Yarrowia lipolytica: one gene and its partner. The protein of the gene in region 2 purifies or fractionates together with the protein of the main gene of each other region. This does not show direct contact. Links are inferred from orthologs where the notes say so. Each region holds a gene or a part of one and is shown on either strand. Other genes may lie near its edges.

What was found.
Region 1: the proteins of YALI1_C26167g (region 2) and YALI1_F16656g purify together in Saccharomyces cerevisiae (affinity purification with mass spectrometry; 3 studies listed by BioGRID). This does not show direct contact. The link is inferred for Yarrowia lipolytica from reciprocal best matches to the Saccharomyces cerevisiae genes NFS1 and HSP78.

What each region holds. Positions count from the first base shown.
Region 1 is NC_090775.1:1,663,968-1,668,654, reverse strand, and holds YALI1_F16656g (uncharacterized protein), read right to left. Parts: upstream 3,041-4,687; coding exon 692-3,040; downstream 1-691. Other genes in the region: YALI1_F16649g (uncharacterized protein), read left to right, coding at 3,558-3,671, 3,715-3,909. UniProt on the Saccharomyces cerevisiae protein: Required, in concert with mitochondrial Hsp70 (SSC1), for the dissociation, resolubilization and refolding of aggregates of damaged proteins in the mitochondrial matrix after heat stress.
Region 2 is NC_090772.1:2,614,884-2,618,979, reverse strand, and holds YALI1_C26167g (uncharacterized protein), read right to left. Parts: upstream 2,202-4,096; coding exon 813-2,201; downstream 1-812. Other genes in the region: YALI1_C26161g (uncharacterized protein), read right to left, coding at 2,388-2,843; YALI1_C26146g (uncharacterized protein), read right to left, coding at 3,955-4,096. UniProt on the Saccharomyces cerevisiae protein: Catalyzes the removal of elemental sulfur from cysteine to produce alanine. It supplies the inorganic sulfur for iron-sulfur (Fe-S) clusters. Plays a role in both tRNA-processing and mitochondrial metabolism.

The DNA of each region.
Region 1 (4,687 bases), on a different chromosome or scaffold from region 2:
TCGATTCCGGTGTCGTCCATTTTTTTTTTTTTGAGGCTAGAGATGGGTTATTTTAGCGTACAGATGAATGTATCTATGCCTGTGTCATCAGTTCTTTTTATGCTGCCTGCCAGAGTCCTTCGAGACGAATGGTAGACATGTTTCTGGGTGGAGCAGAAACTTCCGACAGGATGTGCAACGCGAGGAGTGCAAAGCGAGGAGTGCAAAGCGAGGCTTCGCAATTTGATCGTCAATGATTTCAATCAACTCAAGTGCCCGGGCACATTGTATCATTTGATAGTGTTGACCTGTTGTGAAGTCCTGTCAGAGATTTACTTGTACTCAGAAGAGGGAGAAAAGGGCGGAGAGAAGTAATACACTTGGAAATCGAGATTCTTGGCTATTGTCCAAACTTTTCAAGTCCATTGGCTTGCTCCGTGACTTTTGATAAGAGTATTTCGCTGCCCAATAACACTACGGAACGGCTGCTTGAGTTGACACCGACAACCTCAAAGTACGCCATATCAACGCGATTGGAAATGGGGTGTTGACTGATTCATCAAGTTGGAGTACACACTGATACAATCGGCCCTGCTCTACAATATTCTCTCTCAACTTATCAATCAGTAACATTATTCTATATACATTAGTGTAGTCTACCTTCATCTGATGACCTCTGTCTACCAGACATGCAGCTTGACGCTAGGTTGGTTCACTCCTCAATCTCTCCAGTCTCGTGGTTGGCAGGAACGTAAATGTCGCCATCCTTAACAGTCACGTGCACATTCTCGCCGGTTCGGGTTCGGCCCTGGATCAGATGGAGAGCCAGTGGGTTGAGCACCTTCTTCTGGATGAGTCGGTTGAGAGGTCGGGCGCCGTACATGGGGTCGTAGCCGTGGTCGACGAGGAACTGCTTGGCCTCGTCGTCGACAAAGAGCGTGATTCGCTTGTCCTCGAGTCGAGCCTGGACCTCGAGCAGCCGGATGTCGATAATCTCGGTCAGCGCCTCCTTGGTCAGTCGGTTGAACACCAGAGTCTCGTCGATTCGGTTGATGAACTCGGGGGCGTAGTGCGACTTGAGCGCCTCAATCACCTTCTTCTTGGAGTCGGGAGAGTCCGAAATCAGATACTCCTGGCCAATGTTGGAGGTCATGACCAGAATGGTGTTGGTAAAGTCCACCTTTCGGCCCTGCGAGTCGGTCAGCGTACCCTCATCCAGCACCTGCAACAGCAGCTTGGACACATCAGGGTGGGCCTTCTCAAACTCGTCAAACAGAACCACGGCGTAGGGCTTTCGTCGCACCTTTTCGGTCAGCTCTCCAGACTCTTCGTAGCCAACGTAGCCGGGGGGAGAACCAATGAGTCGAGCAATGGAGTGTCGCTCCTGGAACTCGGACATATCGAACCGAATGATGGCATTCTCGTCGTCAAACAGAAACTCGGCCAGACCCTTGGTCAGCTCGGTCTTACCGGTACCGGTGGGTCCCAGGAAGATGAACGAGGCCACTGGACGCTTCTGGTTGGTGAGACCGGCTCGGTGGAGTCGCACTGCGTCAGCCACAGCGTCCACGGCCTCGTCCTGGCCCACAACACGTGACTTCATGCACACCTCCATATCTAGCAGCTTGTCCTTCTCGCCCTTCATCATGGACGATGTAGGGATGCCGGTCATTCGAGAAACAACCTTGGCAATGTCATTGGGGGTCACAGAGTCGTGCAAAAGAGACGAAGAGCCGGCGTCGGAGGACTCGGCGTCCTTGAGAATCCGCTCCAGCTCGGGAATGTCCTGGTACTGGATCTTGGAGGCGGCGGCAAAGTCGCCGGTTCGTCTGGCGGTGTCGAGATCGGTTCGGGCGCCATCAAGGGTCTTTTGGGTCTCCTTGATCTGGTCAATGGCCCGCTTTTCGTCCTCCCACACCTTGGTGAGCCGCTCAATCTCGCCCTTCTTGAATTCGAGCTTCTCCTCCACCTTCTTTCGTCGCTCCACCGACAGAGGGTCCTCCTCCTCTCGCAGCGACTCCAGCTCAATCTCCAGAGTCACCGTCTGGCGCTCCAGCTCCTGCAGCTCGTCGGGCTTGGACTCGTGCTGAAGTCGCAGGGCCGAACAAGCCTCGTCAACCAGATCAATGGCCTTGTCGGGGAGGAACCGGTCGGAAATGTACCGGTTGGAGTAGACGGCGGCAGTCACCAGAGCAGCGTCGGTCAGTCGCACTCCGTGGTGCACCTCGTACCGCTCCTTGAGACCTCGCAGAATGGAAATGGCGTCTTCCACGGAGGGCTCGTTGACCATGACCGACTGGAATCGTCGAGCCAGGGCCGCATCCTTCTCAATGTACTTTCGGTACTCGTCAATGGTGGTGGCTCCACAGCACTGCAGCTTACCTCGCGACAGAGCGGGCTTGAGCAGGTTGGAGGCGTCAACCGAGCCCTCGCCCTTTCCTAGGCCCAGCAGCAGATGCAACTCGTCGACAAAGAGAATCACCTCGCCCTCAGCCTTGTCAATCTCCTCCAGAATGCCCTTGAGACGTTCCTCGAACTCGCCCCGGTACTTGGCGCCGGAAATGAGTCCCCCCACGTCCAGAGCTATCACCCGCTTGCCCTTCATGGACTCGGGCACCTCGCCGTTGACGATTCGCTGGGCCAGACCCTCCATGATGGCGGTCTTACCGGTTCCGGCCAGACCAATCAGCGCGGGGTTGTTTTTCGTTCGTCGAGACAGAATCTGGATCGTTCGCTTGATCTCCTCGTCTCGACCAATCACCGGATCTAGCTTGCCCTCCTTGGCCTTTTCGCACAGATCCACTCCGTACGACTCCAGGTACGACTTTTCGCCACCGGGGTTCTGGGTCATAGTGATGAATCTCGGCGATCCGAGGCTTCCTGGAGCCCGAATCATCGTCGGGGTTCTGATGGTGCCCCATGTAGAGCAGCTGGTAGTAGCGGAGGTCGTAGGTCGAACAGCAGTACTCAAAGCTCTGGTCTGGACCTGGGTCCTTGTGCTGGCGTGAGCGAGAGGTCGCGCCCTCAATCGCTGCACGTTCTTTGCGTTCACTCGAAACATAATGTTGAAGTAGTAGTTAGCGTGTGCGTTTTATGTGTGTCTGCTCCGCTACCGCTGCTGATATATATATTTGGCGATGGGACCGTCAAAGTTAACCGAGCTGAAAGTTGAAGGCGGTTCTGGAATCGTCCATGGCGATTATTGGGACCTGTGGCGGTGGCAAAGGCGGGAGAGACGGGAAATCAACTAAACCGAGGATGGAGAAGACGATTATGTGGTTTGTTGACGTGTACTGCCCCTGCTAGCGTCAGTAGATACGACATCTTCCGCACATCTAAAGGCATCACATATGCCTACGCCTTAACCTAATCGCGAGGCTGAGACTGCCTCAGTCTGGCCCTCGTAGCAACCCTTTCGCGGGCCAATGAGCGGGGAAATGTGCATGTGGGCGGTGGTGTGAGCAGAGGCGGCAGCAGTGTAGCATTCGTACAGTATTTCTGGGCGGAGTGGTCGCAGTACGAATCGACAGTGGTATGCCTCTTCCTAGAGCGGGAAGGGTGGTTTTGGACCATTCAGAATGAGCGCTAGATGGGCGATTTCACGCCCGGTGGCAAAGAAACCGATTTTAACCGGGTCAATGGGAAGAATGGTGGCGAAACGGGAAAAATTTGCGGTTCAGGACCCATTCCCGGTGATGTTTCGGCACTATGGAATCGGGTGGAACGTTGTAGAAGGCCTTGGAATCTTCTAGAATGTGGTGGATGTTTGGAGAAAAGGAGACCATGAAAGCGGCAAAAACCAATGGTAGAAACTCGCTGGTGGTTGATTCAAGCTCATGTCACCTCTCACAACCCACCTGGACGTTTTCCACTCTCATTCCAATAACCGCAGTTTGGTTTAGACCAAAACTCTATCGAGCCAAAAAATGACAGCCGATATTTACACACGAGAATGTGACAAATGGGCCCAAATTGACACCGAAAGTTGATATAAAGGCTCTAAATGACATTGCAATATACCAGCTCTTCAATTGACCCTGTGAAAATTGTAGTTTTCGAGTTTCTCTAAGATCAGGACAGGCAAATGGGGGATTCACGAGATGTTCATTTTTCTGGATCAATAGAGGTCGTAGAAAGACAATTTTTTTACTAGAGTTCACGGTGAGTCTTATAATGTATTTACAACTTTCACCTAGTCAACCCCATCGATATTGACCGAGTTAGAGACACTATTCTCAATGTGAAACTAATTCAAACGATTATGCATGATAAATGCAAGCCCCACTGATAACGGAGTTTAATATCTGGGACAAAAGACGTACCAAACGTGGTGTTAGTGGTGATAAACAACAAAATTGAATCAATAAATATATTTTAAAGTGTTTGTAGATCTGATTTTCAACTTTTTCCGTGCGAAAAACTGCCCAAAACATCTCAGAATATGACTCCACTTTTTTGGTGAGCAATTTAAACAACATTTTTATCTGACATGGCTACAACTTCCAGCACAATGTACCGGTACTGTACTTATGAAAGGGGGCTAAAACCAGTGCACAATTTTTATCCAAGGCGAGGAGAAACAAAAACAAAAGAAAAACACCAAAAAAAAACAAAAAGGAAATTAACAATGTTAACTCCCCCACAGGGGCTCGAACCCTGGACATTTCGGTTACCATGCCTTTAGGGTTACTAAAAGCCGAACGCTCTA
Region 2 (4,096 bases):
AAAAGTGGAGACTGGAGAGTTATGCTTGCACTAAAGACCATTAGGCATGTCTGGTGTAAGCCGTATCGAGACCAGGTCACATTTCAGCTCAAACCCTAGCAACTGCTTGAGCTACGGGCCATGTCGGCTAACGCCCCCCTCGAATGTCTGTTGCGGTATGTGCCAAACGATTCGCACAGCATGTACTCGCACCGGCGACCTTCCAGGTGTTTATCGGTGTCGTATGTTTGACTCCTTACACGGAATTGGAACGACAAAGAGAAAGGAGTTGAACTGACCTTCACTAAGACCCCCCCAAGACGATTAGTTCGGTATGTAACTCTTCGTTTCCTCGAGTAGAAGTGGACTCTCTTGCCCTAATCCTTGAAACTGGGCTATATCTCGTATCAGCTACTGCACCCTTAGTGATTCTGCACTATGGTTAGCTGCATTTTACCACTAGGATAGCACATGACAATACAACACTACGCCAACCACCATCTTCAGGTACTACACGGATACAAGCCAATCGTGGTGTCATCAACTACCCATTGGCTGCTGGAGCATATTGGAGTCGTCCGTAGGAATACTGGTTGGAACGCAGACTACAAGTAGCCAATGATAAGCCATATTCTTCACGTCCACTCTTTCTCAACTCATATCTCTACCTTACTATCATTCACTATTCATCACATGCCATGCCTATATATCACGGCTCATCAGTTTTTTGTTTATTGTTGCGGATCTAGTTGCACCTGATTCGTACACTTGTCTAGAACAGTTCATACCGCTTATCATGGTTGCGCAATGTTTTTGCTGGCTGCCATGTTCGCTTAATGCTGAGACCACTCAATAGAATCCAAATCAATACCCTCCTGGACCATCTCCCACAGAGGAGACAGCTCTCGCAGGAAGTTGACTCGCTCCTGCACGGCCTTAAGCACGTAGTCGACCTCGGCCTCAGTGGTGAATCGACCAATACCAAATCGAATGGAGGAGTGGGCAAGAGCGTCATCGGCACCAAGAGCCCGGAGCACGTAAGAGGGCTCGAGAGAGGCAGAGGTGCAGGCGGATCCAGAAGAAAGAGCAATGTCCTTGAGAGCCATCAGCAGAGACTCTCCCTCAACGTAAGCAAAAGAGATGTTGACACAACCGGGGTAGTGGTGCTCAGCGTCTCCGTTCAGAGAAGTGTGCTCCATGGCCAGGAGACCGTTCTTGAGCTTGTCAGACAGCTTCTTAATGTGGGCGGTGTCGTAGGGCATCTCCTGTCGACACAGACGGGCAGCCTCTCCAAAGCCAGCAACGAGGGGGGCAGCCAGAGTTCCAGATCGAAGACCTCGCTCCTGACCTCCACCGGTAATGATGGGCTCGAGACGCACTCGGGGTCGTCGTCGCACGTAGCAGGCACCGATACCCATGGGGCCGTAAAGCTTGTGTCCACTTATGCTCATAACATCAATCTTGTCGGCGTTGACGTCGATGGGGATCTTTCCGACGGCCTGGGCAGCATCGGTGTGGAAGAAGACCTTCTTGGATCGACACAGAGCGCCAATCTCAGCAATGGGCTGGATCACACCAATCTCGTTGTTGACGGCCATGATGGACACCAGAGCAGTGTCGGGTCGAATGGCGGCCTCCAGCTGCTTCATGTCAATGAGACCGGAGGACAGAACGGGCAGGTAAGTGACCTCGAAGCCCTCATCCTGCAGGTATCGGCACGAGTCCAGAATGCACTTGTGCTCGGTCTGGGTGGTGATGATGTGTCGCTTTCGGCCCTTGTAGAACCGGGCAATACCCTTGATGACCATGTTGTTGGACTCGGTGGCGCCGGAGGTGAAGATGATCTCCTTGGGGTCGGCTCCGATTAGGGCGGCAATCTCCTCTCGCGCCTTTTCGACAGCGGTGTCGGTCTCCCATCCGTACGAGTGTGTTCGCGAATGGGGGTTGCCATACATGTCCGTATAGTAGTTGAGCATCACGTCCAGCACACGGGGGTCCGTGGGGGTAGTGGCCTGCATGTCCAGGTAGATGGGTCGCTCATCGCCGGCAGGAGCGTTCTGGACAGCCTCGACGGCCTTGGCCACCAGAGATCCCTCAGGCGCAGAAGCGGTGAAGGTCTCTGTGGAGGGCGCGTGGGTGGCCAGGGATCGGGCCAGCGAGGGGTACGCGGTCCTGGTGGCCATTGCACGGCCCACGCTTCGAAACGCAAGTCGGAGGGTCATTGCGTGTGTGTAGTCTTGTGTGGGTGGAGGTAGACAGTTGTAGGTGCACCGTTTTCTCTGGGGAAGCCAATTTTGGGAGGTGTAAATCACGGCACGTGTAAACGAGATACTGGACGGTGGCGAAGAATAGTAGAGAGCAAGTGGGTCACGGGACAGATAGAGAGCTTATTCTGAAGAGGGGAGAATTTAGAGTAAAACAAGGCTGTTTTTGTCTTTCCATCGTGTAGATTGTGCCTTCTTTTTTCGACATCTGAAATCAACACCCACAGGACATGTATGTTCCAGCCAATAGATAGAGTTATGCAAGAAGAGGTTAGTGGGGGTTGATTGGTAAGCCTCGTGAAGTGCATACCTGGGGAGTGGTCTAGACGTGGTATCGACGGTCTGAGCACGTGATGCGAGATTTATACGTCCTATGACCAGACTGGAACAAAAACACGTGTTTAAAAGTCGACTGAGAAGACTCCTTTTACCCCCTCCCCTGCTACACACCCTCCGCGTGAAACTCGGATGCAGAAAAATATTAATGTAGGCGGAGATATTTCCATGCAGGTGATCCAAGAGAAGCAAAGACCAATAATAGCCGAAAGTCGCAGGGCGTATCCGGCAATAAACTGAGTTCTGGGGTCGGAGAGATGTCATAGAGAGCCATTGGCACGAGTACTGACTAGACGAGCGGTGATATAGATGCTTGTATTTGGTTTGATTGGGTTATGCCCTTGAAACACCTCTTCGTTGCTATGTTAACGAACATTCTGTACAGAACGTACAGAACAGTGTGAGTACTCGAGCGTCTTCCACAGGATTCGAACCGAGACAAGTTGCAGAGTCAATCATGACTCAAATATACTTCCGAGCCGGAGATGGAATCCCTCTCATCGATACAACGCACCCCATCTAACCATGCATATTCTCGGCCACTCACCGGCGCATGCCATCTTGAGATATTGACGTGTGGGCAGGAAATAGTAGTCACGTGATCATATGAATCGGCTGCAAGTAGCAAACAAGCTGGGGTTCAGTTTCACAGCCAGTTTGTTCACCCACATGTGCACCAAGCTACAGTTGCTTGCTTGTTTCAACCGTTTTCTTTGTCGTCGTTTTGAGTTGCCGTTGGATTTCTCCGCAGATTGGCAAGCATATATCTCGATGGGGAGTACTCGAAAAACACATCTCTTTGAAAAAATCATGTCGAAAGCACAAGAAAAGGCTATCTACGTATCCATTTTCCCTTTTCAACTTCGCGTATATCGTCATTCACAGACCAAAACAAAAGAGATCGTGTAACTCAAAGTGAATCAAAGTTTGAAAGAGTTGGGTGGGGGGTCGGCCTTTGAAGGGACGCTCAGTCGGGCTTCCAAGTGTATTATTGTTGTATTTGGCAAGTTGTGTTAGTTTTTACAATCAAATATGGTCAGGTATCTCGGTTTTTGTCAGTTTGTCTCATAGTGCAGTCTCTCAGCACAACTAGCAACACTGCACAACATGCGTCCATCGTGCTTCGAAAGTTGTAAATCGTCGAACAGATGGTCTGTACTGTAGATATACATCAGTAAAGCTGTAGATCAATAGGTTATGTAATAATTCTGCACTATAAGACTTCCGAGTTCATGGTTGCCATCCGTTTACGCATGGTATTGTCGTCTATATACTTGTACTTCACAGCCGTGTACTTGGCTCAGGTTTGCGGTTTGCATGTAATGAGAGCATTCCTTGTAGTTCAGTTGGTCGCACAAATTGATACAGGAGCGTTTCACAGACACATAACTCTCGGTCCAACCATGTGAATCATGTTACAGAGCTCTTCGGTCAGAGGATGATCAGGACCCAGCACGTTCACCAGATGCTGGCCAAGGATCATAATCTTCCGGGCAATAGAGCCCAGCTCAGTTCGG